Linked DNA regions of Xenopus tropicalis. The protein of the gene in region 1 interacts with the protein of each later gene in a biochemical or structural test. Links are inferred from orthologs where the notes say so. Each region holds a gene or a part of one and is shown in the gene's direction. Other genes may lie near its edges. The genes, in order: sik2 and crtc2.

What was found.
Region 2: of the proteins of sik2 (region 1) and crtc2, one has a biochemical effect on the other in vitro, tested with the Homo sapiens proteins (2 studies listed by BioGRID). The link is inferred for Xenopus tropicalis from reciprocal best matches to the Homo sapiens genes SIK2 and CRTC2.

The regions. Positions count from the first base shown.
Region 1 is NC_030683.2:84,184,915-84,201,124, forward strand, and holds the start of sik2 (serine/threonine-protein kinase SIK2), read left to right. Parts: upstream 1-6,580; 5' UTR 6,581-7,649; coding exon 7,650-7,784; intron 7,785-16,210. UniProt on the Homo sapiens protein: Serine/threonine-protein kinase that plays a role in many biological processes such as fatty acid oxidation, autophagy, immune response or glucose metabolism.
Region 2 is NC_030684.2:144,416,207-144,432,448, reverse strand, and holds the start of crtc2 (CREB-regulated transcription coactivator 2), read left to right. Parts: upstream 1-7,523; 5' UTR 7,524-7,862; coding exon 7,863-8,012; intron 8,013-11,044; coding exon 11,045-11,149; intron 11,150-12,078; coding exon 12,079-12,195; intron 12,196-12,692; coding exon 12,693-12,754; intron 12,755-14,003; coding exon 14,004-14,072; intron 14,073-14,373; coding exon 14,374-14,474; intron 14,475-14,575; coding exon 14,576-14,658; intron 14,659-14,817; coding exon 14,818-14,867; intron 14,868-15,914; coding exon 15,915-16,156; intron 16,157-16,239; coding exon 16,240-16,242. Other genes in the region: slc39a1 (zinc transporter ZIP1), read left to right, coding at 797-799, 2,512-2,695, 2,800-2,930, 4,225-4,863. UniProt on the Homo sapiens protein: Transcriptional coactivator for CREB1 which activates transcription through both consensus and variant cAMP response element (CRE) sites.

The DNA.
Region 1 (16,210 bases):
ATCAGTGAGCTGTCAACCCCCGTAAGACTTGAAAACTACATTAAGTTTGTTTTTGACTATTTTTTATGCAATATTTTTGCAAATATCCTTCAAAGTTTGAAAAGTAAAGCAATTAAACACAGACATAGCTATACTGCACAAATGCTTTGAGTACATCAGAACAGCCAAATTAGTTACTGAATTTGCAGTACCAGGGTTATATTGGTGTTATGAATATAAATAAAGTGCAGGCACTCCTTATCTTAAATTAAGGATTATTAATATTTGCATTTCCACTTCTCACATCTTCTCACAAGCATAAAGATAGATATAGATAGATAGATAGATGATAGATAGATAGATAGATAGATAGATAGTTAGATAGATGATAGATAGATAGATAGATAGATAGATAGATAGATAGATAGATAGATAGATGATAGATAGATAGATGATAGATAGATGATAGATAGATAGATAGATAGATAGATAGATAGATAGATAGATAGATAGATAGATAGATAGATAGATTAGATAGATAGACAGATAGATAGATAGATGGTAGATAGATAGATAGATAGATAGATGGTAGATAGGTGATAGCACAGTGTAAGGGGCAATAAGAGATCTTCTGTTGTAAAGATCACGGTGCACTTTAATAGTAAAAATATATGTCTTGCGCCTACTGTCCAGGTGTGTGTTATCAGTTTAATAACAAAATGTGGGGCACTCGTTTATAACATTATAAAAAAAATGCCAGTAAAGGCAATGGCACACAGGAAGATTCCCAGGGAATTACCCCTCCATTGACATTAATGGTGATTGTCTGATCTCAGATAGGTCAGGCATTTATCATTTGAAAATAAAGCGCTGAGAGCCTTGCCTTGGTCTAAGAAATCTTCCTCAGCACAAAAAAACAAAATGATCCTATTGATTTCTAAAGAAACAAGGAAAGGTTTTGGATAACATGTAAAGCGTAGTTAAGCTTTTAAATAAATTTTACTGTTACATGGACAGTGATATTCTGAGACTATTTGTTTGAGCATTTTTTTTGTGGTTTTTAAATGAACTTTTTGTTCAGTGGCTCTCCAGGTTGGAATACAGTAGCTATTTGGTAGCTAAGGTACAATTTACAACAACCAGAAAGTGATTTAAACAATTGATGAATTTGAGATGGACTGAAAGATAAGAAATCAAAATTAACAATAACAATAAAATTGTAACCTCACAGAGCAATAATTTTTTTCACTTCTGGGGTCGGTCAGTGACCTCATTTGAAAGTGGGATATGTGTAGTGGGATTGAAAGTGGAATATGGTTTCAAAAACCATAACAAACAAAAAATAAAGACTAAATGAAAAGTTTCTAAGAATAGAACAGTCTATAACAACTATAACTATAAATTAACTTAAAGGTGAACATACCTTTAAAGTCTCTTACATTGCCCTTGTTTTTCCATGAATATATGTGTGGATATATATTGTTTTAGTCCAGAGGGGGTATCTGTTAATACCTTTTTGAAGGTATTGAGAACCACTGTTATAACAGGTCCAAAATGGTTGTACACAGTAAAGAGTCGTTGAAATGGCAGAATAATATCCTATTTTAGTCTGCAAAGAGGAGCACCATGAATATGTTTCAAGTTTCATAGCCTCGGGAACTGACGTTTGCATTAGGGCTTATCTTTGCTGGGACTAAATAACACATTAGTACCTTTTAAAGTATCAGTGAACCTTTTCACTCTGTGATTTTAGTTATTCTAGTTCATGGGTTTGCACTCAGTAGATTGAGCTTTTATTTGTCATCATAACCAAAGTAAACTTTGCAAAAACTTTGCTGGCAACCTTTTTGTTTGCACCTTAGCCTTTAAGGGCCTCCTACACTCTGATGTGACTGTGGATGGCCCTGTCTGATTTAATGAACACAAATTGGTGTATTCACCAGACAGAAGAGGTAAGTACCTTGTTCCCCCACAACTACCACCACCATTGCATAGGCAATAGGTTAAACATCCTGTGTGCCATTGCCCTTAAGGAACATAAACCATCTTATATCTAGTATAAATAAATTTTTTGTTAAATACTTTTTGACACATTTTGATAGGTGTTTCACCTTTTTAGTTATTTGTTATTAATTTTAATGTATGCTGAATTTGTTTAATTATGCTGAATTTGGGGCCACTTTGTGAACCCTGTGTGATGTATTCATAAAGGTTATATATAGTATGTGCTTGCTGCAGGGCTTTAATGGTGGCCCTGGAATATGTATAAAATTAACACCTTTAGGGTATAAAAAGGAAGTGACATGTTCACACCACACTTCCTCTGATGAAGCACCTAATGGTGCGAAACGCGTTAGGAAGGAGAGTGGGTACCATGAGGCACTGGGTTTTCCTTTCCACTGTGGTATAGTATGGCTTATGTTTTTTTGAATTTGTGTTAAATCTTCTGAGCCAATAAATGTCTGTTTTTTTTCACTAAAAAACTTTTGCGTTGATTTCAATTATTTAATATTCAGGACCTTTTGGTGAAATTAACTTAAGTTTTTCTGCTCAATTTATTTTTTTCTTAATTATAAATAAATTTAAAGCAACTGGACTTGTTTGGTAATCATTGAAGACGTTTCACTACTCATCTGAGCAGCTTCTTCAGTTGAACTGAAGAAGCTGCTCGGATGAGTAGTGAAACGTCTTCAATGATTACCAAACAAGTCCAGTTGCTTTAAATTTATTTATACTAGATATACCATGACCTGGATGAATGAAAATCTTCATAGACATAAACCATCTTAAAAACTGACTTTCAATGTCCCCTAGTTCTCCATAGCTAGCATTCCAAATAAATTATAGATGCAAAGGAATTGTCCAATAAGAATAAGAAATCAACTTTTATAGTATATTTTACCTCCCAAATCACCTTTTTCCAGATATTCTTATTTTCTTTTTCCAGGTTAGACTTCATAAATGCAGACACAGTGCTGTTTAGGTTATTAGAGCTACAAAAGAAAAATGATGATTTTGTTTGAGACCAGAAAGATAAAGTCAAGTGTAAAAAGAGCAGACAGGGTTCTCTTTTGAGGATCGTCTTGTTTTAACAGGGCTGCTGGCTGTTTAAAATTTGTTTATACATTTTTCCTTTAAGAATCCTTAAGTGTGGTGGCTGGACTATCATGATATTTGACAGTATTCTGATGAATGCTGGGAGTTGTAGTCCAGAAAAATTAGGTATAAGAACACCATTATTGAAGGTTTATGACCCCTTTCACTTCTATTCAGTTCTATCAGTTGTCCTCATAAAATTAATAATATATGGAATGTGTACCTAGCCTTTTGTAAGCTCCACTTGGGCAGAATATCTCTCTATGCAATCTGTAACATATTGGTTCTATATAAATAAAGGATAATCTCCTATCATAATGGAAATATATTTGTCATTGTCATTTTTGGAACTGACACAAAGTATCACGGATAAGATAATGACAACTGTATCTTAATATTAAGATAATTTGTATCAATATGACAACATTATTCAACTGTTAAAAGAATACGGAACTTGATTTATGTAACGTGAAATGTTTATTTTCTTGCTATAAAACAATAAAAAACTATAGGAAAAAATTAATAAATAAATAAAGGATAATAACAATAGCCTGATTATCAGTTCTGCAATTCATTCTGCACTCACCCTCTTTAAAGAGAATGTACAAAGTTCAAAAACCCTAGAAATACAAGCATTATGCACTCACAAATATATAAAGCTGAGGTTCCAAGTGACCTGGATATGATCTACAAAGAGTTTGTCTACCTGTGACTGTGTGGGTTTTATCCAGGATCTTTAGTTTCCTCCCAATCAGCTAAAACATAGAGCCAAGTTAATTGGCTAGTGGTCCTAGTGTGTGTGCTGAGTAAATGTGATATGCTCCATCAGTCCCTGCTCCATTTGGGCAGGGTCTGATGTGAATGATGCATAATATGTAAAAGCTGTGGAACATGTTGCTGCTATAACAATAAAAACTGATTATAGAAATATGCAAAATTAACTAACATACAATCACATATATTGCTACATTATCATGTATTCCTTAACCAAAAGAACACTTATTTAACGTAGACGTCTTCTAGCCTGTTGTAATCTGGCTTAATACCGTGTCTGCTGTTTCTTGATCTGATTCTTATAATGAGCTTCTCCTGTCTAAACGTGACCTCTCTGTTCCAGCGTCAGATTAAGACTATATTGGGCTGTACTCAACACACGAGTCTTCCAGACACCATGCCCTAGATTGAAATCAGTACACTTTGGCATTTCAAGTATACAGAAACCTAAACACACCCCATAGGCAGAATATAAAATCTATTCTAGCTATTGGCAGAATATCCAGATTTACTGTCCATTCCTGTTTTACACCTTTAAAATCCAACAGGGCAATGCTATGCCCACATATTTTTTTGTTTTTGCAGTCTTTGAAAAGCAGTATACAGCAGCTTTATATCAGAAAATGCCTTTATTGGACTTGGCCCGACCTCAGATAAAGGGGGCAGTCTTGCACAAGTGCCCCACCATGTCTTCATTTAGCAGAAAGCACAATTAAAAGATCATTTGCCCTTCACTTGAATTTATACACTGTCTTTTAAGTTCTATTTTAATTTAACGTTTCTATAAACGTTTAATTGAAATAATTAACTAAATTGATTTTTCTGTACACTCTTGTGTATCTACATATTTGTTTTGTATGAATGACAGCTCCCATATTTAGCCAAAACATGAAAATGGAAATATTCTTGCTTACATATACTATTAGTGACCTGGACTAAGCAGATCACATACATTACATTGTCCTTGTTTATTAAGAAACAAAAGTTATTTCTTTAAGTAATCAGGAATTCTGCAAAAAATGACTCAATTTTTGCCTCAGGTAAACATCTTTTAATTCAAGAGTACATCGCTACTCACTCTGCCTCCTGGGTGCTAAATACTGCAGCTTCTGTAGAAAAGAGCTATGGATCCATCCCAGGTTGTGTGTAAAATTGCAGGTCACCCCTTTATAGAGAAAGGAAACCTTTGTCACCCTACTATTGTAATGCCACTGGGTCCATCTCCCTCTTACAGTAATATGCACCTGAAACCAAACTTACACACTTCATTGAAATACATAGAGTCATCACCAGTCCTCTGATATAATCAGAAGCAGAGGAGCAGGAAGCATTGAATGGCCGATGGGTGAGACAGGGACAGTCAATATGCCCCTGGATCAATTTGGATTTGGGCTGGCATCTCGGTTATTAAGCTTTATTTTCACGTTGATCTTATTCTTTTCTATGGAATTAATAAGACTACTTGCCTTATAGAAAACAATGAAACCACTTCCAGGCTGTATGCAGTGGCTACTTATTTTCTTGCTCAATTTACAGCCCTGTGTGTACAAATAGCTGTATATAAATATAAAATGTGCTTACATAAATCACCACATAAGACACCAGTTTATGTGTGTTGGTATAAGAGCCAATAGTTATTTTGGGCATGAGCAGCAGTTTTTCAAGAGACAGCGGCGTATGTAGAAGTTACTGCGCTCTTTATAAAAAATCATTTTACAGTTTAACTAAATATTCAGGGGCCTATAGTGTTAACATTCCCAATAGCTTTAAACCCTACACTTCCTTATTTCACTATTACTGGGCGGAAGCCCATGTATCTATCTTGCTATAAGGATGTTTTGTATCTTTGGCCCATGAGACTTATGATTACTTGCTGCACACTGTAACATAGTGTTCAGCAGGAGGTGAGAACTTCTTATTTGGCCTGCATCTGTTGAAACAGGTACATGATCAACAAGGCCTCAGTAAAGCCATCTATCTCTAGAGAAGTCGGGGAGCAGGGACCCTGTGAACGAGGATTTAGTAAGTGCAGGATATATTCTCCTTTACAGTCTCCACTGCCTAATTGAAGGGGCCACAGTTATAACAAGGGTATCAGGCATAGCCTTCTCCCTCATATATGTCTGCTGTTTGGGATCTGGTCCATTAAGGTAAGAAACTTTAAGGAAAAAGATGCCCTACAGTGGTGCATCTTTACATTGCTTGCTCTGCATTTAACGTGCCAATCTGTTGCCCTGCATCTGCATTGTGAGTATTACTGCATTAACCTGTGGACCATTTGTCTTGGACAAATAAACTGAGTTCTGTTTGAGTTTGCTGCAAGAACCATCTGGTACCCTTTATTTCTTTATTTTTGCACACAGCATAAGTGAATTGTAGTTGCACAACTACATGTCCCCCTTGGTCCTTTCACATAACAAAGGCCCATCCTGTGTGTTAGTCAAGTGTACCCCATGCTCCATAGCCCATCTAGCTGGTCTTTGTTTTGCAGCCAAAAAGGGGTTGCAATTATAAGATAGTTTCATAAAATGTTCATTAGTCAGTGACCCACTAGGCACACAAGCGGTAGCAGAGTACCTATTCCCCTCAGCTGACAGCCCGGTTCGACAAGCCTCTAATCTCCACACCAGCCCTGGCACAGAGAGATAGAACAGCAGCCCTAAGAGAGCACAGCTAGGGCCAGGGTAATGTTGCCTGTCATGCCCCACAGATGCCGGTGGTGGCGCTGTCTCTCCAGGAGCACCGTGCCCAGGGAACACCATAAGAACAAAGTTACTGTGCGAGCTACTTATTATTATAATAATTAATTAAGACCAGTAACATGTGCATGCGTTAATAAAGAGTGCTGTGTAAATGCGGATGTATGCAGCCCCCCTGCTTCCAATTGTTCGCATGTTTCTCGTAGCTCTGATCAGGAACTCCCTGAGCCCCGGTGCAGCAGCAGGCCCGGGGCTGCCATCCTGCCTCTAAGCTATAGCTGCTATGTGCGAACAGGCAGCGCCTCAGCCACACACACATGTATACTCTCCCTGTGCTAGCCTTGACTGACAGCTTCAGCAGAGGGCTGCTGACGTCAGAGCTGGCTCCGGTTGTCAAGGGCAACCTATTTGGCAAGCGAGCTGTGAAAAAAAGACAGGGAATAAAGGGCCCGCCCAGGAGGCCTCCTGCTGCTCTGACGTCAATGGACGTTAACTGTGAGAACATGATGCCTTGTGCATAGAGCGGTACATTGGCTTCCTGCTGCACAGCTGCCTCCACTCCCTGTGTCTGGTCGCACGCGTGCTACAGCGACTAACAATACCTCTGTGCAAGTGAATGGGAGCTGCACAATGCTCGTTACTTTGCAACACTTTAGCCGTAAATCTGCCTGCAACGACTTGATGAGCTGACTTTATCGGACCTGTGAAAACTCAGCCCGATTGGTTGCGTTTTGTTTGCATGTTAATGTCAGACGTTCCCACCTTGCATGGATGTGTGAGAGCTCATTCGGGTATAACCGTGCTGAACACATGGCAGGAGCTGGACAATGCAAGCAGTAACGCGTTCCATTTGGGAATTCTTCGCCACCATCAACTTTACAGAAAAGTCTTGCGATTGTATGTAATGTGCGGGCGCTAGAAGCTGAATGTAGTTTGCGTTGGGTTGCACTTGCCTATAAGGAATGGCTAAGGTGAGCCCCCTGTGAGCGCCTGTAGGATCTGCCTGCGATTCCTTTCACTGCGACTTGTTGGGGGGTGTGAGCACTAATCGTGCCGGTTGATGTCTGTTTCCCGTTGGAGCTTCCTGGCCCGGCTCCCAGCATGGTCATGGCGGACTGTCAGAAGCCTGTACAGAGGGGTCCTGTCCGGGTCGGATTTTATGACATAGAACGCACTTTAGGGAAAGGGAATTTCGCGGTGGTGAAGCTGGCGAGGCACCGGATCACCAAAACCGAGGCAAGTACTGGCCAAATGTCTGGCTAATAACTTGTGTGAGCTTCACTGCATCCCTCTGCTGTTCTTGCACTACAACTCTTGGCGCAAAACTGCAGCGTGTTTTAGCGCAATAACAGCTGGGAAGCCGCTTCTTTTACATTTCAACTATTTCCATTTTCTATTATGCCAATAAGGGCATTTTCTGCCTATTGCCTTATCCCTGCAAAGTGCTGGGCACCCAAATGTGACAGTGCTGTGTTCTGGTAGGGAGTGTTGCTGCTGAGGACTTGCTGGGCACCAACTTACAGCATTACCTTTCCTTAGCAAGTGATAATGCTGGACATGTAATTATGGCATTGGTGTTACCTGGTAGGTGCTGGGCAGTGGCACCTATTTATGGCATTGTTTTACAATTGTGAGAGTGTTTGCAGTGCACCCATACTCCTTTACACTAGTGAGGTCTTATGTTAGACATCCAGACATGCCTTTGCATTACCTTTGTAAGTACCATTACTGGGCTTTTAAATATGGCATTGCTTTATCCTGGTAAAGGCTTTTGCTGGGTTCTCCTATATGGCATTTTTCCCTTTAATGGTTAAGCTTGTGGTGTCTAAGTATGGCATAGTTTACAGGGTAAGGTTATTGCTCTAACTTGGTAAGTGTTATTTTTGGGGATCCAAGTGTGCCATTGCTTTAGCCTGGTAAGGTCTGCTGGTGGCCACCTAAACGTGACATTTCTTTTCCCATTAACAACTGGTGTCAACTATGACACTGCCAAGTAAGGGTAAAGATAATAAATAGTAAAAATAAAAACATCTTGCCAACTGCAATAATAAAATTTTTATTTTTTATTGATGCCACATTATATAACTATAATTTCTTATTAATCCAGAGTCTTTAAAATCACAGTACAGACCTGCTTTGTGTGGCACCATGGAGACAATAAACATATTAATTGGCATAGAAATACTTTAGCAAACAAAGTTTGGGTACAAACAGCTTTTATTTTGCTAAATCTCATTACATTGCTTACTGTTTCGTGGCCCAAAGACAGCAAAGTCAAACATAAAGTACCAGCATCTTCTGTCTGGGAATACTAGGGGTTTGGGTTCAACAACCGCTAAGGTTTGCCAAACATGCTGTTGCTTTTCTCACTTACAGCCAGAGTTACAGGTGACTGGCAAAACCTACTCGGCCAAGTATCTTATGAACTGCACTAGTAACCAATTTGTTCCCTAGAATCCAAGAACACCGGTTCATGTTTACCTGCTGATTTATGAGCCACCTAGCAGGTTTAGCCCCTCACTTAATACCGCAGGTAAAGCTGTGCATTAATCCATAGTACCAATCAATTTTTCCTGCTTTTTCCAACTGCATCGCACTGATTAAAGGTATATCTCTGGCTGCTATTGGTTACTGCAGCATTTCAGTGAAGCATCTCTCTTAGAGAATGGGTTCATGGTTTGTTTGTTTGCCCAGTGTGTAGTTTTTATGATAAGTCATCTGAACAGAACATGAATTCTGCATTTTAGTTATGTTGCCATAAAATGCCTTGTAGTCACAATCTCAGGTATAGAAACCAACTCCAGTCACACTACCAAGATTGAGTGACACTCTATCTAAAAGGTGTACACTGTGGGTTTTTTACCTGTTTCTGGGTCATGTAGTTCAGCCGATCAAACTGATACAGCTAAGAAATTGATGTCATCTGATGGCCATTTATATTTTCCTGAGACCTGTAGTCTCTTAGTATCACTTACACCAAGGCAGATTAAATGTCACCCCTTGCATCTTGTCATCGGACCTCTGTATCCTGTGGCAATGAGATGCTCTTACAGTTAGAGAGCTGGCAAGGGCTGAATGAGTATTCACACAACATTATTTTTCTTCTATCTGTGATGCATTACTGTATTCTATACATAATACTTTTACTAAACGTTTAAACATGTCCTTGTGTCAAGAACTAGTTAAATTGTTATTAAAGGGGATATAAATCAGTGAATAAAAGTTTGCCAGATTTGAGAGATGGTAATCCTAAGCAATTTTCAACATGTATATGTGAATTGCCTATTTATAATAATTATAAAGTTATTTTGTAAATATATATGCTATGAATAATAGTATCTGTTTGGCCCTTTGTTATTAGGACTTTTGAAACAAGGTAGCTGAAGCCTGCAAGCCATGCAAGGCTGACTTCTGTTACCTTGTTTGAAATGACAAAACGAGCAGTGCAGAAATGGAAAGACAAGTGCTGCTTTCAGTTGCAAATTACTTTAGAACTAGTGAAAAATTTTATGAAATGTATATTGGAAGGTTCCTTAGAATTAGATTCTTTTATTAGAAATACTTTTTTTGGACTGTGGGGGAGATATTTTTATGTTTAAATTTTAACATTCTGCCTTATTGTGGCAAAAACAGATTCATTTGTAATTTTAATTTAGTGTGCTTTTGTATGTAAAAATAATATAAGCATTGTATTGGGGCCTATATAGAGTTAGCACAGTTCTAAGAGGCATTTTTTAGTCTCCAGTTACAACTATACCTCCATACATCTCTGCACATTTCTGCCTCAACTTATTCCTCATGCAGGTGAATATCTTGCGAGCCAGGTTTGCTGCCAACAATATCTGTTTAGTTTAGATATCAGTGATCATTTTTGTTTGTGACTTGCAGTAGCAAGCAGTATTGAAAGCTGCCCTTTATGTACTCTTTGCTTCCTGTTGATATAAGATCGAGGGCTTCGTCGGGTCCTGAGACAAGTACATTTTGTTGCTAAACTTTGCATATTGTGTAAGTTTGTTTGACCCTGAATTCAGGTCACGGAACACTGTTCAGTTTTTCAGTTCATTTTTTTTAATTGTTGCACTATTGAAGCTTTTTGTGCTCTGTTATACACTATCTTGCAACACAAAATGCACAACACTTCTAATCAGCCTTTCCACCTAAATTTGCTAATTTTTGTGACCTATAGAAATGATTGTTGGCAATGAATACATTCTTAAAGTTACATTTACTTATTTACATGTTTATATTTAATGATCACATAACAATTAATGCTTTGGTAAGCCAACAATTAAGTACAGAGTATCTAACAATATGTAATAGCTACATTTTTTTCTAACTTCATGTTGGCATATTTAATACAGTAGAATTTTTAACAAAGAAGTCGTTCTGTGTTAAAAATGTAAACCTTAAATAAAAATATGATCTTTTGGCAGTTAGTGTGTGCAGTTTAATAAAGTCTGCACTGACAGTTGTACTTAAAGGCCATCACATGCTGCCCCTGGGATGCAGGGAATTCTACCCAATTCTGTCCCTTTCAGTTTTGTTGTATCACTTACCATCTATCTGATATAAGGTATTAATGTCCAAATGTAGGCACAACTCCCAGCACCTTTCAGGCAGCTACTGTATGTAGTTGTAAAATACCCTGCAGATGTGTGATTACTTCTTAGCAGTTTGTAAATAATTAAAAATGTAAATTCCCCTCTCCATGCTCAACTAACACAAGAGTAGTCTGTTGCTTTGATCTAATGTAAAACAGCCTACCTATCAGCATGACACATTGGTACACTTACCAGACAGTGCAGAATCACTTGGAGATAATATTTATGGGCAGGCTCTATTGCCTTGAGTTTAGATCAGATCCTGTGAAGTCCAAGACCTAACATGCAGTAACAGTTTTATGTTAAAGGGGAACTCCAGCTTCCAAAGAAAAATTTGTTAAAGAGCTCTACACAACACAGAAACCCTTAATAAACCTATTACTGTAATCTGTTCCTTCAAAAAATATGAATAAATGCCATCTTTATATGTTAAAAGCCAGCTGCAAAACATGTTACAAATTGTATCCGTTTCTTCACAATTTACAAATAGACAAAAGGAATTCTGGGAATGAATTACAAACGCCTAAAAAAAAAAAAAAAAAAAAATCCCATTTACATGGGTTCATCCTATAGGCTATAGGATAAACCCATGTAAATGGGATTTTTTTTTAGGAGTTTGGAATTCATTCCCAGAATTCCTTTTGTTTATTTGTATCTGTATGAGGCAGTCTCCTCAACTATAATGTTCTTACAGACAGCATGCAGGAACTACAATGCAATGCTCTGTGATGTTCCTTTCCTTATTGACATCACGTGAGCAGGGGATTGTGGGGTTTAGAGGTTGCAGGCTAAGGACAGTGGAATACTATTACATTTTTAGTAGTCAGCCAGATCAGCAGGAGAACAGGGGGCCAAGCTTAGGTAACTGTTCCAAACCATATTATTACATTAAAAATCATGAAAACACTGCATATTTTTTAACTGATTGCATATTGCAAAGTTGCTTGAAATTAAGCTTTTTTTTTTTTTTTTTACAAAAAGGTAAGTTGTGTTTGGGTGGAGTTTCACTTTAAAATAAAGAGGCACAATTCAACAAACAGTCATATACACATCTATTATTTTTCATGGTCTAGCAACCAAACATTTTTTGTCGGGTAAATACTTTTCATAATGTATAAAGCTTACGGCTGTATTTACATAGACCTTTCTGATAAAGCTTACTTAGTTTTTACCTTTCTTTCTCCTTAAAGTTATTTTTAAAGGCCTCCCTACATGAGCTGAAATGGTAAGTTAAAAAAAAGCTGATAATAGTGCATTGGCAATGGAAATTTTCAAAACTGCTTATTCCCAGAACTGACCAATATCCATGGTGCATGGATATCAGTAGGGATCAGCAGGCCACCATACACAAACCAAAAATCTTCCAAAACTTTATTTATATGATATTATTGGTACGTGCATGCCCAGCTTTAATTGTAACTGCTATTTAAAGCAGTACCAGTCTATCCTTTTTATATTCTCCAGTTTGGTGGTTCTGACTCTTGAAGCAATGTATTGCATGTTGACGGATTTAATAGACCTGTGAAGATGCGTTCAAGACTTAATTAATTTCTTCCTTAAGTCATATTATCACCAAAAGGTTTAGTTAATGTTCCAGTGATTATAATTTCCAATAAACCAGTTATCACACCACTGTTTAGTTAATCTGGTCCTGTATCTCAAATGTAGAAAAAAAATACTGTTGTAGTATGTTGAGTATCTAGCACAAAGTTTGCATAAAGGTTAAAGTCGAAACAAATCATAATGATAGTCCAAGTGCTTCTTTCCTTCTGTCACTGTGAGTTCCCATTAAATCCCTTGTAAATGAAAACTCTTTCACGCAGGTGCTCAAATCTCTTTAGCTTGCTCACACACAGGAACACATACTGAATAATTAGACCTGTGTGGAAAATTCTCTGTTTGGTAAAACAAGCATGCTAATATAAATGGCAGAGTGTCTGATATGTTTTTTTATTTTTCATAAAGAAAATGTCAGTTGACTCCCCTCCCTCCTATTATTATGACTTGGATTTAGATTTAAGCCATCTTTAACCATCATATCAGCAAGATCAAGGGCTTTAACTAAATGGCAAGTCATATCATCCTGGTTCTGGTTTACTTCCTGATTAAGTCCAGATTGCCCATGAATTCACTGGTTAATATGTGTTAAAGCTTGCCCTTCAAGGCAAACAACTGAATTGTTTTGACTGTACGCATTTCACAACTAGCTTGCAAATAAGTCACACTCCTATTTAATGCTCCGTGGCATCAGCATGTCAAACTTTCTACTGTTTGCAACCCTACAGCCTTTAAACTAGTAAATCAATTAATATCTGCAGACAACCTCTAAGTAAGGGTGAGGACACACAGAGCTACTAGTAGCAGCTACTTTTTCACGGCTACTAAACTCTAGAAAATACCCTGCCATAGGCCACACTGAGAATTGCCTCTGCTAAAACACACACACAAACAATTATCAGTTTATGATCTGCATTGTCTATTTTAGTAGCCACAACAAGTAGCTGCTACTATTACTTCTAGTAGCAGCTACTTTTTCATGGCTACTAAACTCCAGAAAATTCCTTGCCATAGACAATGAGAATTGCCTCTGCTAAAACACATGTAGAGACTGTTATCAGTAAATGATCAGCATTGTCTATTTTAGTAGCCACGACAAGTAGCTGCTACTAGTAGCTCTGTGTGTCTTCACCGTAATAGAACATAGGGTAGCCCTTTTATTATATAGGTTATCTGTGCTGCAGATATAGATTGGTCAGGTTAAAACTTTATTTTAGCCAAAATCAACCTTAGCGTAATGCTTAGAAACTACCTTTATGATCTTAAATCAAGTGTTTGGTGATAAGAGAAGCCTGCTGACTTCTGGTTAGTTTCCAATCCCCAGTATCCGTCTCCTAACCAGTAAATGTACCATTATGCCATAAGTTAGTGAAGGACAACCTATAATTCTCCAGAAATAGCTGTCAGCAGGGCTAGATGTTGTATTTCAGCTTTCACATGTGGTAGTTGTGCTTCCAAGACATCTGCAAAACACCTTCTCTGTGCAGCTACCTTAAAGGAAGCAAATGTGCGACTGGATGCTCTTGGTTTTCATGCTAATGTTGCACCTATACATGTGCTGATGGCTGGGGCATAACCCCCTTGACAACCACTGTCATTTTGTATCTAATGCATTTTTATACAAGGATTTCCACCAAAAAACTGTTTTGTTTGATGAAAATAGATTTTTTTGTACTGCTTTCTAAGCTGCATGTAAATTGCATCTTTAAATATTTCAGATCAGCCATACAGCAGTTAAAAGAATTGAGCAGCCCAAAGTATGCTGAAAAGTTAAACTTTAGTAAACTACTGTTAACTATACGCGCTGTTATTTATTTGTTTTGTTCGTTACATTTTAAAGACTTAAAGAGAAGAGAGTCAAGAGACCTGGTTCGTGTGTATTACAGAAGCTTTGGTATCTGAGCACTTGTGTCATCTCAGTATTTAAAATGTGACTGCCCTTTTTTTCTTCTTTTTTCTGTATTGAATAAATACCCAAGAGAAAAGCCACCAGGTTACAGTTAGCTACTTTGTCAGTTACATGTAATCATAACAGTAACCTTTTTTGACTGCTGCCTTTTTTTCTCTGCTGGCTTCCTTCAGTGTTAAGGATTTAGAAACCACTGATGTGTGTTTGTGCAGTAGTTCTAACCTTTCAGGCAATGGCTAGTGCTTGGGACTGTGAAGATTTAGCTCCATCGGCTTCTGGACTGTGTGTGTTTTGTTTGCCAGTCACTGCAAAGTCTGGAAAAGCTCTGAACAGGGATAGTGCTCTGAGTATCCTTTCATGCATCTTTACCCTTGCTCTGTGTTACCCTCTTCTCTTCACATATTTGCCCCTGTCCCTGTTTGCACATAGGTTCATTTACATAAGTGTATTTATTACTTTCAGACTGTCAGACTTTTACCTACAGGGGTAACTCTTTCCTTCCAAGGCAAATTCTGATAACTGGATCATCTTACTCTATGCTTCACACTACACCAGTTAATAAATGTGTTTTATATTCCAAGAGCTTTATAGTTTCTTTTAAATTTCAGACCCAGACTTTAGGCATTAAGAAGTTTAACTATTTTACTTAACCTTTGTCATCTTTATTAAGTACAATGACTGATGACCCAGTTACCTTTACCTGTACCTTTTCTGCTTTTTCAGACTGAATGGCTTTTCCCATGGCTAAACAGCAGCCTATTTATATAAACTAAATTAGTGTTTCTGAAGTAAACTCAACAGGTTTACTAGTGCAGGGCACTATTCTATTATAATTTAATAGCTTTAAACCACTTTAATTTTTTGGTGTTACTGTTCCTTTAACAAAATTAGAATATGCACATAGATCTGGCATGTTAGTTCCATTAGCCTTATGGACAGGCTGCACATCCTTTATTCAGTAGGAACTTTCTACCTCAGAAACTTCTGTTTTGCCCTGTCAAAGTAATTTTATACACCCAAGGTAACAGGAGACAATAAAATCAAATTGAGGTTTTTAGTGCATGATGGGAGGTTGATGGCATCTTGACAGAGTTGCCAGTGTGTTCTTTATCACTTTGGGGCATTTGGTATTACTCTTTAGTCATCTCTGAATGACTGGAGTAAAGTTGATTGGGGCCCCTGCAGCACTGTACCCCTGTGGAATCCCTGATCACCACTATTCTCATAATCCTACATAATCTGTGTAGAGTGATGAACCTATTAATAGTCACTTATATAGGTTAAGAAATAAAGTACTGGATACAACATGTAGATGAACTAGGTTTAATGATTAGTTTATAAAAGGGTCTCGAAATATGTTCTGCTATTTACTCACTTTCACTTCTAAAGTTTTACTGTAGCTAAATCTTGAATTAGAAAAGAGTGCCTCTGAGAAAACTGGACACAATGCCTTGACCATTGGGCAGGTTTTAAAATTGCAGTTACAAGACACCATTCGTTATACCATCATTACAAGTACATTATACAAAATCCGGTTTTGACTTTTATCTTTATCCTTGGTTAGCAGATTTCCCTACATGAATTGTACAAATAGC
Region 2 (16,242 bases), on another chromosome or scaffold:
AGGTTACCCCCTATTCTCCCCTCTGCCCCCCAGGTTACCCCCTATTCTCCCCCCTGCCCCCCAGGTTACCCCCTATTCTCCCCCCTGCCCCCCAGGTTACCCCCTATTCTCCCCCCTGCCCCCCAGGTTACCCCCTATTCTCCCCTCTGCCCCCCAGGTTACCCCCTATTCTCCCCCCTGCCCCCCAGGTTACCCCTATTCTCCCCTCTGCCCCCCAGGTTACCCCTATTCTCCCCCCTGCCCCCCAGGTTACCCCCTATTCTCCCCTCTGCCCCCCAGGTTACCCCCTATTCTCCCCCCTGCCCCCCAGGTTACCCCCTATTCTCCCCCCTGCCCCCCAGGTTACCCCCTATTCTCCCCCCTGCCCCCCAGGTTACCCCCCATTCTCCCCCTGCCCCCCAGGTTACCCCCTATTCTCCCCCCTGCCCCACAGGTTACCCCCCATTCTCCCCCCTGCCCCCCAGGTTACCCCCCATTCTCCCCCCTGCCCCCCAGGTTACCCCCCACTGTACCACACTGCAGTAAAGAAATCACAGCTCCGGACTCGGTTCCGCTACCTACCCAGAATGCACCGCGGCTGCTGAGATTTCTCCGAATTCCCGGTACGGAAGAGGCCGCCTCAGTGGCAGATTTATTCCCTCCCTGAGGAGCCAGGAGCCGCCCCCGTATGAGGGTTTGAGCCGCGGCTCACAGGGTCCCAAAGGGTCGCACTCATTTCCGGGTGTACAAACATGGCGGCGCTACACGCCTGCGCACTGAGGCAGCGTTAGTCAGAGTGTGAGTCTGAGTCCGGCCGATGGTAAGTTTGTCTGGATCTTTCTGTGATTATTCCCCCCTCACCCCAAACTACCCCTCCGCCCAGTACCCTCTTAGTACCCTCTCTACCCATCTGCCCCTGTGTAATGTACCCCGCCCTGTATTGCCCCTGTATTACCCCTACCTACCCCTGTATTACCCCTTACCTGCCCCTGTATTACCCCTACCTACCCCTGTATTACCCCTACCTGCCCCTGTATTACCCCTACCTACCCCTGTATTACCCCTACCTGCCCCTGTATTACCCCTACCTACCCCTGTATTACCCCTACCTACCCCTGTATTACCCCTACCTGCCCCTGTATTACCCCTACCTACCCCTGTATTACCCCTACCTGCCCCTGTATTACCCCTACCTACCCTGTATTACCCCTACCTGCCCCTGTATTACCCCTACCTGCCCCTGTATTACCCCTACCTACCCCTGTATTACCCCTACCTACCCCTGTATTACCCCTACCTGCCCCTGTATTACCCCTACCTGCCCCTGTATTACCCCTACCTGCCCCTGTATTACCCCTACCTGCCCCTGTATTACCCCTACCTGCCCCTGTATTACCCCTACCTACCCCTGTATTACCCCTACCTACCCCTGTATTACCCCTACCTGCCCCTGTATTACCCCTACCTGCCCCTGTATTACCCCTACCTGCCCCTGTATTACCCCTACCTGCCCCTGTATTACCCCTACCTGCCCCTGTATTACCCCTACCTGCCCCTGTATTACCCCTACCTGCCCCTGTATTACCCCTACCTACCCCTCCTGTTTCCTCATACAGCCCCTATATTACCCCTACCTACCCCTCCTGTTTCCTCATACAGCCCCTGTATTACCCTACCTACCCCTCCTGTTTCCTCATACTGCCCCTGTATTACCCCTACCTACCCCTCCTGTTTCCTCATACTGCCCCTGTATTACCGTTACCTACCCCTCCTGTTTCCTCATACTGCCCCTGTATTACCGTTACCTACCCCTCCTGTTTCCTCATACAGCCCCTGTATTACCCCTACCTACCCCTCCTGTTTCCTCATACAGCCCCTGTATTACCCCTACCTACCCCTCCTGTTTCCTCATACAGCCCCTGTATTACCCCTACCTACCCCTCCTGTCGCCTCATACTGCCCCTGTATTACCCTACCTACCCCTCCTGTTCCCTCATACTGCCCCTGTATTACCCTTACCTACCCCTCCTGTTTCCTCATACAGCCCCTGTATTACCCCTACCTACCCCTCCTGTTTCCTCATACTGCCCCTGTATTACCCCTACCTACTCCTTTCCTGTCTTCTCATAATGCCCCTGTATTACCCCGACATATTTCTTTCCCGTCTTCTCATACTGCCCCTGTATTACCCCTACCTACCCCTCCTGTTTCCTCATACAGCCCCTGTATTACCCCTACCTACCCCTCCTGTCTTCTCATACTGCCCCTGTATTACCCCTACCTACCCCTCCTGTTTCCTCATACAGCCCCTGTATTACCCCTACCTACCCCTCCTGTCTTCTCATACTGCCCCTGTATTACCTCTACCTACAACTCTGCAACCTTGTCACATTGCTGCGTATTATCCCTTCTACCTTTCTATATTAATGAATTCCCCCCCCTCTGTATATTCTCCTACTGCCCCTGTCCCCTCAGTAGGAGCATGCCCATTTGCCCCCCCTGCCTCACAGCGGTATTGTTCCCTCCTTACAGGCCGGGGTAACAGAAGAGAAGGACATGGAGGCAGTTTGGAGCCCAGGGCTGGATTCTGCCCCCCTGTCAGTCGTTACCATGGAGCTGAAGTTGGGGTCCCTGGTTACCCTGCTGCTTCTCACCATTATCAGTGGCCTTGCCCCTCTCTCTCTATTCAGGCGCCAGGGGAGCACAGTTACCTCCGGTGAGGCTTTTAGTGGGGCAGTAATAACGGGGTTAAACCTATATTCATAGATATCAAGCAAGTGACCCCTGTATTTAACCCCTTACTCCCCGTTGCTGTCGCAGGTCCCCAGCGGAGGTCGCTGAGTCTCATCAGCTGCTTCTCGGGAGGCGTCTTCCTTTCTACTTGTCTTCTGGATCTGATGCCCAGTTACCTGTCCTCTATTGCTGGTGCCCTGAAAGGGTTAAACATCACAGTGAGTACCTGGGGGCCACGGCATCTATACAGTTAATCTGTAGCCTTTTAGTATGGCTAATGGTTAAATCCCCCACAGGCATGCCTGGGGATTGCCCCACCTACAGGGCAGATATTTATAAACATGGGGTGTACGTGTCCTTTAAAGGAACAGTAACACCAAAAAATGAAAGAGCTTTAAAGTAATAAAAATAGAATGCACTGTTGCCCTGCACTGGTAAAACTAGTGTGTTTGCTACAGTAACACTACTATAATTTATATAATAAGCTGCTGTGTAGCCCCGGGGGCAGCCATTCAAGCTGGAAAAAAGGAGAAAAGGCACAGGTTACATAGCAGATAACTGATAAGTTCTGTAGAATACAATAGTGTTTTATCTGTTATCTGCTATGTGCCTGTGCCTTTTCTCCTTTGAATGGCTGCCTCCATGGCTACATAGCAGCTTATTTATATAAATTATAGTAGGGTTTCTGAAGTAAACAACTTTTACCAGTGCAGGGCAGCAGTACTTTATATTTTAGTTACTTTTCTACACTTTCATTTTTTGGTGTTACTGTTCCTTTAATGGGGTTGTTCGCCATTCTGAGACAATTTGCAATTGGTCCTTATTTTTCATTTGAATTCTTAAGCTTTTTGTTCAGCAGCTCTCTACTTAGGAATTTCAGCAGCTATCTGGTTGCTAGGGTTCAATTTAACCTAGCAACCAGGGAGTGGTTTGAATGAGAGACGGGTATATGAATAGGGGAGGGGCTGAATAGAAAGATAAGGAATAAAAAGTAACAATAACAATAAAACTGGAGCCTCACAGAGCAATAGGGTTTGGCTGCCGGGGTCAGTGACCCCCATTTGAAAGCGGCAAATAGGCAGAAGAAGAAGACAAATAATTAAAAAACTGTAATATATATATATATATATATATATATATATATATATATATATATATATATATAAATAATGAAGACCAATTGCAAAGTTGCTAGGAATAGGGCATTCTATAATGCACCAAAAGTTACTTTTAAAGGTGAACCCCCCCTTTAAAGTCATGTGACATAAGCATGGAATTTTTCTATTTAACCCTTCCTTAAACTAATTTGCATATGCAAATTTCCTTTATTCAGCTGAATCTTTCACAAAGGATTCTGGGATCGGCGGAATCCCAAAACAGTAATTTCAGCGCATCCCTATTTTTATTAAACAAAAAGCTGCCATATTGCCGGGGGCGTGCAGACTTTTTGTGTATGTGTATATAAGTTCCCCTTTAATTCTCCCGCGTAACGGTCACTGTCTCTGCTCCCAGTTGCAGTTCCCCCTGCAAGAGTTCATCTTGGCCATGGGATTCTTCCTGGTGCTGGTAATGGAGCAGGTTGCCATGGGTTACAAGGATCAGGCCGGCGGCTCGGAGGAGACGGGCGCCCTGCTGGGATCGGCCAGCCTGTTACACAGCGGGGTGGGGGCGCCCCACGTACACGTGGATGTGAACGCTCACTCGGCGGTGAGAATGATGGCGCTGGTACTGGCCCTGGCGCTGCACTCCGCCCTGGAGGGCGTGGCCTTGGGGTACCAGGGGGCACGTGGGCGAGTGATGAAGACCTGCCTGGCTCTGCTCGTCCATAAGAGCCTCATTGCATTCAGCCTCACCCTCAAACTGGGGCAGGGGCGCCTCCACGTCCGGGCCATGCTGGCGTGCCTCCTGTTCTACTCCCTAATGTGCCCGCTGGGCATGGGCCTGGGCATGGCGTGGGCTGGCAGCACCGACCCAGTGCAACAGTTAACCCGTAGTGTGCTGGAGGGACTGGCCACTGGGGCATTTATGTACATTACCTTCCTGGAGATCCTGCCCCACGAGCTGAGCGCCGGTTACCCCCAGATCGACAGGGTCATCGTGTTGCTCTGCGGCTTCTCCGCCATCGCCGCCGTCCTCTTCATCAAGATCTGATTAACCCTTTCCTCGGCTGCCCGTCGCTTCCCAAGCACAAACGGGACCAATGAGAGGGAAGCGTGTGTGCCGCGGATACAGTCGCGCTTGCCCTTTATGTTTCTATTATGCAGAAAAATATTTTGTAATATTTATATACACGGGGATCTATTTTTTATTATTATTATTATACCAGTTTTATACCCACGTGTTTACTAACCAGCTGTAACGTACACAGCCTTTATTAAAATGGCTTCTTTTTAACCTGCTGTGTGTTTGACTCTTCTAAAAGGGGATGTTCACCTTTGCGTTAACGTTTAGTATGACGTAAAGGGTGATATTAGGAAAATTTGCAATTGGTCTTCATTTTTTTTTAAATTTTATCTCAATTTTTGTTTAGCAGCTCAGCAGTTTGGAGTTTTTAGCATCTATATGGTTGCTAGGGTCCAAATTACCTTAGTAACCAGGAAGCTGTTTGAACGAGAGGCTGGAATATGAATAGGGGAGGGGCTGAATAGAAAGATAAGGAATAAAAAGTAACAATAACAATAAAACTGGAGCCTCACAGAGCAATAGGGTTTGGCTGCCGGGGTCAGATATACTGTTGCTAGGGCTCAAGTAACCTTAGTAACCAGGGAGTGGGTTGAATGAGAGGCTGATATATGAATAGGGGAGGGGCTGAATAGAAAGATTAGGAATAAAAAGTAACAATAACAAAACTGGAGCCTCAGAGCAATAGGGTTTGGCTGCCGGGGTCAGATATACTGTTGCTAGGGCTCAAATTTTCTTAGCAACCAGGGAGTGGTTGGAATGAGAGACTGGTATATGAATAGGGGAGGGGCTGAATAGAAAGATAAGGAATAAAAAGTAACAGTAACAATAAAACTGGAGCCTCACAGAGCAATAGGGTTTGGCTGCCGGGGTCAGTGACCCCCATTTGAAAGCTGCAAAGAGTTGAAAAAGGAAGGCAAATGGATTTGGCTGAATCCCGGATTTGGTGCAACCCTATGATAAATAATGAAGACCAATTGAAAAGCTGTTTATGGCAATTCTATAACATGCTAAAAATGAACGTAAAGGTGAACTTCCCCTTTATTCAAGGAGTAAAATATGAATATAGGTAATATAATATTAGAAATAGGATTCGGTTTCGGCCAAATTGAATCCAAATCCTAATTAGCATAAATGTGCATATGCTAATTAGCATTCAGAAGGCTTAAATGTTAGTGGGGGGGGGATTTTTATTTTTTAACCCTTACTGATCGGTTCAGTATTCAGCCAAAGCCATCAGGGTGGGTTTTTTGGGTTCGGTGCACCCCTAATAAGAAATATGAATTAGAAGCTCAACTTGACCCGCAGGTACTCACTTTTCTTGGGGTAACCGACCCCCTGCAGGACTCCCGGGTCATACAGTTGCCAACACAAATGCAGTCTGATCCCCAAATCATTTCAAATACAGACTGTTCTATTGGTTTGGTTTTTCCCCAAGCTGGGGAGGCCTTTCTAGGGTTAAAGGGGTGGTTTCCGTTAACATTTAGTATGTTACAGAATGCCCTATTCCTAGCAACTCTGCAATTGGTCTTAATTAAAAAAAAAAAACTATAAATAATGATTTCCCATTCAAATGGGGGTCACTGACCCCGGCAGCCAAACCCTATTGCTCTGTGAGGCTCCAGTTTTATTGTTATTGTTACTTTTTATTCCTTATCTTTCTATTCAGCCCCTCCCCTATTCATATACCAGCCTCTCATTCAAACAGCTCCCTGGTTGCTAAGGTAATTTGAGCCCTAGCAACAGTATATCTGACCCCGGCAGCCAAACCCTATTGCTCTGTGAGGCTCCAGTTTTATTGTTATTGTTACTTTTTATTCCTTATCTTTCTATTCAGCCCCTCCCCTATTCATATACCCGCCTCTCTTTCAAACAGCTCCCTGGTTGCTAAGGTAATTTGAGCCCTAGTAACAGTATATCTGACCCCGGCAGCCAAAACCTATTGCTCTGTGAGGCTCCAGTTTTATTGTTATTGTTACTTTTTATTCCTTATCTTTCTATTTACTCCCTCCTCTATTCACATCCCTGTTCCTTTTTCAAACCACTGCCTGGTTGCTTAGTTAAATTGGACCCTAGCAACTAGATGATTCTGAATGGAGGTCACTGACCCCGGCAGCCAAAAACGATTGCTTTGCGCGGCTCCAGTTTTATTGTTATTGTTACTTTTTTTTTACTTATCTTTTTATTCAGCCCCTCCCCTATTCATATCCCTGTTCCTTTTTCAAACCACTGCCTGGTTGCTAAGTTGAATTGGACCCTAGCAACCAGATGGATTCTGAATTTCCCAATTGAAGAGCTGCTGAACAAAATGCTAAATAAAAAAAAGACCAATTGCAAATTGTCTCAGAATAACCCTCCCTGCATCACACTAAATGTTAATTTTTAGGTGGGAAAATCCCTTTAGTATCATCTGTAGAAGTGACCCCGTTATGGGAGCTCCCTATAGAGCCTCTATGTCCCCTGTATAAACCTATTTATTGTAATATTAATACACGTTGTTAATATTAATAGTAATAATTACAGTGACCCCCTGGAAGTATAGGGACAGGATTCCTACACCCGTTTTCCTGTCACACAACAGTGTTTATCCCTCCCTCCAGACCCGCCCTTTATTTCCTTTCACACAAACGTAGCGAAGGCTCCGCCCCAAGCCGCAGGCCGCCACCACTTTATTCACACCCAAACTGGCGGGCCAGAAGGTAACAGCGTCGGTGCCGCATGGGAATTGTAGTTTTAACGTGATTCACTCGACGTCTATTTCAAGCGCTTGGAACTACGTTTCCCGACAAGCAGTGGGACGTCGTCTGCCCACGTAACGCGGAGCCCGACGGGAGATGTAGTTTCGCTTCGTGCCGTTGGGCTTTGAGTTTCTCGAGTTCAGCGGCGCGTTGGAACTACGTGTCCCGGCGTGCCTAGCGCTGTGTTTTTCCACCGGGGGTTTTCTCGGCGGCTGCGGAAGGGAGCGAAAGATGGCGGCTTCGGCGGGGGCCAACGGGCCGGGCTCGGCCTCGTCCTCCAACCCGCGCAAATTCAGCGAAAAGATCGCCCTGCAGCGCCAGAGACAAGCGGAGGAGACGGCGGCCTTCGAGGAGGTCATGATGGACATCGGCTCCACCCGGGTACCCGCGTTCTGCCACTTGTCTGCCATTGGCCAGTTATAGTGTTGCGTGGGAACTGGTGCAGCCCCTGGGGTGGTTTTATCCCAACTGTGAGCTCTATGGGGCAGTTATATTGCCTGACAGGAAGTGATACCCCCCCCAACCTGGGATCTGTCAGTGATACCCCCCCCCCAACCTGGGATCTGTCAGTGATACCCCCCCCCCAACCTGGGATCTGTCAGTGATACCCCCCCAAACCTGGGATCTGTCAGTGATACCCCCCCCCAACCTGGGATCTGTCAGTGATACCCCCCCCCAACCTGGGATCTGTCAGTGATACCCCCCCCAACCTGGGATCTGTCAGTGATACCCCCCCCCCCAACCTGGGATCTGTCAGTGATACCCCCCCCCCCAACCTGGGATCTGTCAGTGATACCCCCCCCCCCCAACCTGGGATCTGTCAGTGATACCCCCCCCAACCTGGGATCTGTCAGTGATACCCCCCCCCAACCTGGGATCTGTCAGTGATACCCCCCCCCAACCTGGGATCTGTCAGTGATACCCCCCCCCAACCTGGGATCTGTCAGTGATACCCCCCCCCCAACCTGGGATCTGTCAGTGATACCCCCCCCCAACCTGGGATCTGTCAGTGATACCCCCCCCCAACCTGGGATCTGTCAGTGATACCCCCCCCCAACCTGGGATCTGTCAGTGATACCCCCCCCAACCTGGGATCTGTCAGTGATACCCCCCCCAACCTGGGATCTGTCAGTGATACCCCCCCCAACCTGGGATCTGTCAGTGATACCCCCCCAACCTGGGATCTGTCAGTGATACCCCCCCCAACCTGGGATCTGTCAGTGATACCCCCCCCCAACCTGGGATCTGTCAGTGATACCCCCCCCCCAACCTGGGATCTGTCAGTGATACCCCCCAACCTGGGATCTGTCAGTGATACCCCCCCCCCAACCTGGGATCTGTCAGTTATACCCCCCCCCCCAACCTGGGATCTGTCAGTTATACCCCCCCCCTAACCTGGGATCTGTCAGTGATACCCCCCCAACCTGGGATCTGTCAGTGATACCCCCCCCAACCTGGGATCTGTCAGTGATACCCCCCCAACCTGGGATCTGTCAGTGATACCCCCCAACCTGGGATCTGTCAGTGATACCCCCCCAACCTGGGATCTGTCAGTGATACCCCCCCCCAACCTGGGATCTGTCAGTGATACCCCCCCAACCTGGCATCTGTCAGTGATACCCCCCCCAACCTGGCATCTGTCAGTGATACCCCCCCCAACCTGGGATCTGTCAGTTATACCCCCCCCCCAACCTGGGATCTGTCAGTTATACCCCCCCCCAACCTGGGATCTGTCAGTGATACCCCCCCCAACCTGGGATCTGTCAGTGATACCCCCCCCAACCTGGGATCTGTCAGTGATACCCCCCCCAACCTGGGATCTGTCAGTGATACCCCCCCCAACCTGTGATCTGTCATTTATACCCCCCCCCCAACTTGGGATCTGTCAGTGATACCCCCCCCAACCTGGGATCTGTCAGTGATACCCCCCCAACCTGGGATCTGTCAGTGATACCCCCCCAACCTGGGATCTGTCAGTTATACCCCCCCCCCCAACCTGGGATTTGTCAGTTATACCCCCCCAACCTGGGATCTGTCAGTGATACCCCCCCCAACCTGGGATCTGTCAGTGATACCCCCCCCAACCTGGGATCTGTCAGTGATACCCCCCCAACCTGGGATCTGTCAGTTATACCCCCCCCCCAACCTGGGATCTGTCAGTTATACCCCCCCAACCTGGGATCTGTCAGTGATACCCCCCCCAACCTGGGATCTGTCAGTGATACCCCCCCCAACCTGGGATCTGTCAGTGATACCCCCCCAACCTGGGATCTGTCAGTGATACCCCCCCAACCTGGGATCTGTCAGTGATACCCCCCCAACCTGGGATCTGTCAGTGATACCCCCCAACCTGGGATCTGTCAGTGATACCCCCCCAACCTGGGATCTGTCAGTTATACCCCCCCCCAACCTGGGATCTGTCAGTGATACCCCCCCCCCCAACCTGGGATCTGTCAGTGATACCCCCCCCCCAACCTGGGATCTGTCAGTGATACCCCCCTCAACCTGGCATCTGTCAGTTATACCCCCCTCAACCTGGCATCTGTCAGTTATACCCCCCCCAACCTGGCATCTGTCAGTTATACCCCCCCAACCTGGGATCTGTCAGTTATACCCCCCCCCAACCTGGGATCTGTCAGTGATACCCCCCCCAACCTGGGATCTGTCAGTTATACCCCCCCCCAACCTGAGATCTGTCAGTGACAGTGATACCCCCCCAACCTGGCATCTGTCAGTTATACCCCCCCCCAACCTGGGATCTGTCAGTGACAGTGATACCCCCCAACCTGGGATCTGTCAGTGACAGTTATACCCCCCCCCAACCTGGCATTTGTCAGTTATACCCCCCCCAACCTGGCATCTGTCAGTGATACCCCCCCAACCTGGGATCTGTCAGTGACAGTGATACCCCCCCCCAACCTGGGATCTGTCAGTGACAGTGATACCCCCCCAACCTGGGATCTGTCAGTGACAGTGATACCCCCCCAACCTGGGATCTGTCAGTGATACCCCCCCAACCTGGCAATTGTCAGTGATACCCCCCCAACCTGGGATCTGTCAGTGACAGTGGTACCCCCCCAACCTGGGATCTGTCAGTGGCAGTGGTACCCCCCCAACCTGGAATCTGTCAGTGGCAGTGGTACCCCCCCCAACCTGGGATCTGTCAGTGGCAGTGGTACCCCCCCAACCTGGGATCTGTCAGTGGCAGTGATACCCCCCCCAACCTGGGATCTGTCAGTGGCAGTGGTACCCCCCCAACCTGGGATCTGTCAGTGGCAGTGATACCCCCCCCCCCCAACCTGGGATCTGTCAGTGGCAGTGATACCCCCCCACACACACAGACAGGGAGACAGACAGACAGACAGTGCCCGTGCAGTACAGACTGTGCCATTAAGTTGCTGTGTGTGTGACAGTTACAGGTGCAGAAGCTCAGAATGGCGCATATGAGGGGCCCTTACTATGGGGGGTCACTCCCCAACGTCAACCAGATCGGCAGCGGCGGCAGCGCAGAGTTTCAGGTGATTATTTGTACCCGGGAGTGTTGGTTTTGTTGGTGTCACTGCTCTACCCCCCCATGTAACCCCCTCTGTTGTACTGCAGGGCCCCCCATGTAACCCCCTCTGTTGTACTGCAGGGCCCCCCATGTAACCCCCTCTGTTGTATTGCAGGGCCCCCCATGTAACCCCCTCTGTTGTACTGCAGGGCCCCCATGTAACCCCCTCTGTTGTATTGCAGGGCCCCCCATGTAACCCCCTCTGTTGTATTGCAGGGCCCCCCATGTAACCCCCTCTGTTGTATTGCAGGGCCCCCCATGTAACCCCCTCTGTTGTACTGCAGGGCCCCCATGTAACCCCCTCTGTTGTACTGCAGGGCCCCCCATGTAACCCCCTCTGTTGTATTGCAGGGCCCCCCATGTAACCCCCTCTGTTGTACTGCAGGGCCCCCCATGTAACCCCCTCTGTTGTATTGCAGGGCCCCCATGTAACCCCCTCTGTTGTATTGCTGGGCCCCCCATGTAACCCCCTCTGTTGTATTGCAGGGCCCCCATGTAACCCCCCTCTGTTGTATTGCAGGGCCCCCCATGTAACCCCCTCTGTTGTATTGCAGGGCCCCCCATGTAACCCCCTATGTTGTATTGCAGGGCCCCCCATGTAACCCCCCTCTGTTGTATTGCAGGGCCCCCCATGTAACCCCCTCTGTTGTATTGCAGGGCCCCCCATGTAACCCCCTCTGTTGTATTGCAGGGCCCCCCATGTAACCCCCTCTGTTGTACTGCAGGGCCCCCCATGTAACCCCCTCTGTTGTATTGCAGGGCCCCCATGTAACCCCCTCTGTTGTATTGCAGGGCCCCCCATGTAACCCCCTCTGTTGTATTGCAGGGCCCCCCATGTAACCCCCTCTGTTGTATTGCAGGGCCCCCCATGTAACCCCCTCTGTTGTATTGCAGTGCCCCCCACATTCCCCCCTGGAATCATCTCGCAGCACCCGCCACCATGGTCTCGTGGAGAGAGTTCAGCGAGACCCCCGCCGGATGATGTCGCCCCTGCGCCGATACATGCGCCAAATATCCTTTGCTTTGCACCAATACATAGCGCTCTATGGCGCCCCCTAGTGCTCTCAGTCTGCTGGTACATTGGGCATTACATATATAAATCCTCCAATTAGAATTCAGTTGTGGATACAGGCGGTACCAATAGGGAGGCAGCCCGGTGCTGTATCGGCCCAAACAGATGCACCTTAAGAACACGGAACCGGGTTTTATTTAGGAATTAGGAATATTACTGTGATGTTTTTGGATTTCACCTCCCAGTATAGAGATTATAGAGGTTTAAGTTACCCTTGGCGGGTGGAGGCTACAGTCAGTTGGTCCTAATTTAGGGGATCGTCCCCCCCAACGAGACCTGGGTTGTAGGTCAGAAAGCCATAAGTCTTTCCTCTTCCTGTAGTTGCATTGTGGGAACATGGCAGATGGGAAGTGTGTGCCACCCTGGGCACCTGTTGGGCATCACCCAGCTCTACTCACACAGGCATTGGCTGGATTGCTTTCCTTAACTTGCCCACTTGGACAGCTCTCCCTACAACGCCTCCTACCTCTCACCGCAACAGGAGCCCAGCTGGAGAAGGTAATGTGACTCTAATTCCCAGAAGCCTCTGCTGGTACCAGCCATAGGGCCCCTAGAGGTTTATTTGCCTCAGCTCTGTAACATAGGGCCCCTAGAGGTTTATTTGCCCCAGCTCTGTAACATAGGGCCCCTAGAGGTTTATTTGCCCCAGCTCTGTAACATAGGGCCCCTAGAGGTTTATTTGCCTCAGCTCTGTAACATAGGGCCCCTAGAGGTTTATTTGCCCCAGCTCTGTAACATAGGGCCCCTAGAGGTTTATTTGCCCCAGCTCTGTAACATAGGGCCCCTAAAGATTTATTTGCCCCAGCTCTGTAACATAGGGCCCCTAGAGGTTTATTTGCCTCAGCTCTGTAACATAGGGCCCCTAGAGGTTTATTAGCCTCAGCTCTGTAACATAGGGCCCCTAGAGCTTTATTTGCCCCAGCTCTGTAACATGGGGCCCCTAGAGGTTTATTTGCCCCAGCTCTGTAACATAGGGCCCCTAGAGGTTTATTTGCCCCAGCTCTGTAACATAGGGCCCCTAGAGGTTTATTTGCCTCAGCTCTGTAACATAGGGCCCCTAGAGGTTTATTTGCCTCAGCTCTGTAACATAGGGCCCCTAGAGGTTTATTTGCCCAGCTCTGTAACATAGGGCCCCTAGAGGTTTATTTGCCCAGCTCTGTAACATAGGGCCCCTAGAGGTTTATTTGCCTCAGCTCTGTAACATAGGGCCCCTAGAGGTTTATTTGCCCCTGCCCTGTAACATAGGGCCCCTAGAGGTTTATTTGCCCCTGCTCTGTAACATAGGGCCCCTAGAAGCTTTAATACAAAACAAGAGGGCAATTAGGGATATAGGATATTAAAGGGACACACCCCCAATTCTATGTGCCCACCCATGAAGAACCGTTGTGCCACCAAGGACCCAGTTGCCTTACATTTGCCCCCATTTGCCCCGTGGCTGGTATTTATAGCTGACTATTCAGGCTGTGAATGGGAAGGACAGCGGCTGAAGACTAAAGAGCATTACACAGTTTGGGGGGTTCCTGCTTTTGATTGGTTCTCTGGGATGCTAGGGGCGGGGCTTCCTCCTGTGCGCTGCCGGGGGGCTCCTCTCTGGCAGAAGGAGACACATAAGTTAATATATGTGGCTGGAGCACCTAACCACAGGCCTTGTGCCCCCCACCCATTATATACCCCCCCCCCCCCCCCCGTGGCTGCCCACCCCAGACCCTCGGGTCCCTGGATAACTCTGCTGTTTTTCATTACAAAGGAACATGCCCTGGGGAAACTACCCCTCGGACACAGGACAGCTCTTTAGGTTGCCGACCGCCCTAAACAGGTGAAGTTTCTTCTGCCGCTTCCCTCTTTTTGCCGCTTCTCTCTGCCGCTTTGCTGCGTACTGGGAGGAGCTAAGCAGCTGTGTGGCCCCCTCCGCCCCCCCTGTACCACGAGTGCCTTATTGCATAGGGGTGTGTGTGGCTATATGGGTGTGTGCCTGGGCTAGCAGTGGGTGCTTGTGCTGGGTACCATAAGCAACGTGTGGCCCCTTCTGGCTTCAGTGTTTATTTCCTGCTTTGTCCCGGTGGCTACTTGCTGGCCCCTCCCACTAGCCCTGACGTGTGTCCATGGCTTCTCCTCAGGACAAACTCGGACTCTGCTCTCCATACCAGCGTGATGAATCCCAGCTCACAGGATCCATACGGAGCCGCACAGGGCATGGCGCTGCCCAACAGGAGAACCGGTGGGTTGGTTTGTTCCGGTAGTCGCCTGTAGGGGGGGGATTATGGGGTCGGTAGTCAGTTAAAGGCTCATGCCATGTTTCCTTCCCGATCTGCCCCTCAGCGTTTCTCTTTCCGGCGCCGGCTATAGAGGAGGACCTCCACTCAGATAGCAGCCACCTGCTGAGTCCGTGTGATGCTAAAAGGGTAAGTCTGTGGCCCTGTTGGAATGTGTGTGCGGGTTCATGTGGGTGCAGAGAGTGGCCCTGGGTGCCTGCCGTCTCCTCTCATGGGGTAATGGGATGTGCATCTGTTTTGTGTGTACATAAATCATTGCTGCTCTGTTAATATTTTTTTGCCCCACAGATGCTCATGTCGTCTTCTCGGCCCAAATCCTGTGAAGTTCCAGGCATTAAGTAAGTGACAGCCCAGGCCCACACCTTACGAGCAGTAGTACCATAAGGGTTATTTTGCAGGAAAAAGTAGGGGAACCTAGAACCATATTATGCTGTACACTGCACAGTAGGGGTTCCTAGAACCATATTATGTTGTACACTGAGCAGTAGGATTACCTAGAACCATATTATATTGTACACTGGGCAGTAGGGGTTGTTGTTGTACACTGGGCAGTAGGGGTATCTAGAACCGTATTATGTTGTGCACTGGGCAGTAGGGGTATTTAGAACTGTATTATGTTGTACACTGGGCAGTAGGGGTATCTAGAACTGTATTATGTTGTACACTGGGCAGTAGGGGTATCTAGAACCGTATTATGTTGTACACTGGGCAGTAGGGGTACCTAGAACGGTATTATGTTGTACACTGGGCAGTAGGGGTACCCAGAACCTTATTATGTTGTACACTGGGCAGTAGGGGTATCTAGAACCGTATTATGTTGTACACTGGGCAGTAGGGGTATCTAGAACGGTATTATGTTGTACACTGGGCAGTAGGGGTACCCAGAACCGTATTATGTTGTACACTGGGCAGTAGGGGTATCTAGAACCGTATTATGTTGTACACTGGGCAGTAGGGGTACCCAGAACCGCATTATGTTGTACACTGGGCAGTAGGGGTACCTAGAACCATATTATGTTGTACACTGGGCAGTAGGGGTACCTAGAACCATATTATGTTGTACACTTGGCAGTAGGTGTTGTTGTTGTACACTGGGCAGTAGGGGTACCTAGAACTGTATTATGTTGTATACTGGGCAGTAGGGGTACCTAGAACCGTATTAGGTTGTACACTGGGCAGTAGGGGTACCTAGAACTGTATTATGTTGTATATTGGGCAGTAGGGGTACCTAGAACCGTATTAGATTGTACACTGGGCAGTAGGGGTACCTAGGACTGTATTATGTTGTACATTGGGCAGTAAGGTTACCTAGAACCATATTATACTGTACACTGGGCAGTAGGGGCACCTAGAACCATTTGTGATTGTTCTCTTTGTCATTGCAGCATTTGCCCATCAGTGGACGAGCCCACAAGTATCCCTCCAGTGCCCTCTGTCCTTAATTCTGGGGGCTCACTGCCGGACCTGACTAATTTGCACCTGCCTTCCCCTCTCCCCACCCCCCTGGATCTGGACGAGTCAGGATTCAGTAGCCTCAGCGGGGGCAGCAGCACTGGCAATCTGGCCAACACCATGACCCATTTGGGCATCAGCAGGATGGGGCTGGCCCCAGAGTATGAGATTCCAGGTACCACCCAGATAGATACTCGCCCATTCTGCCTTCCCATAATCCCCTGGGCTGGGCTTTAATTTCTCTCTCTCTCTGTGCAGGTT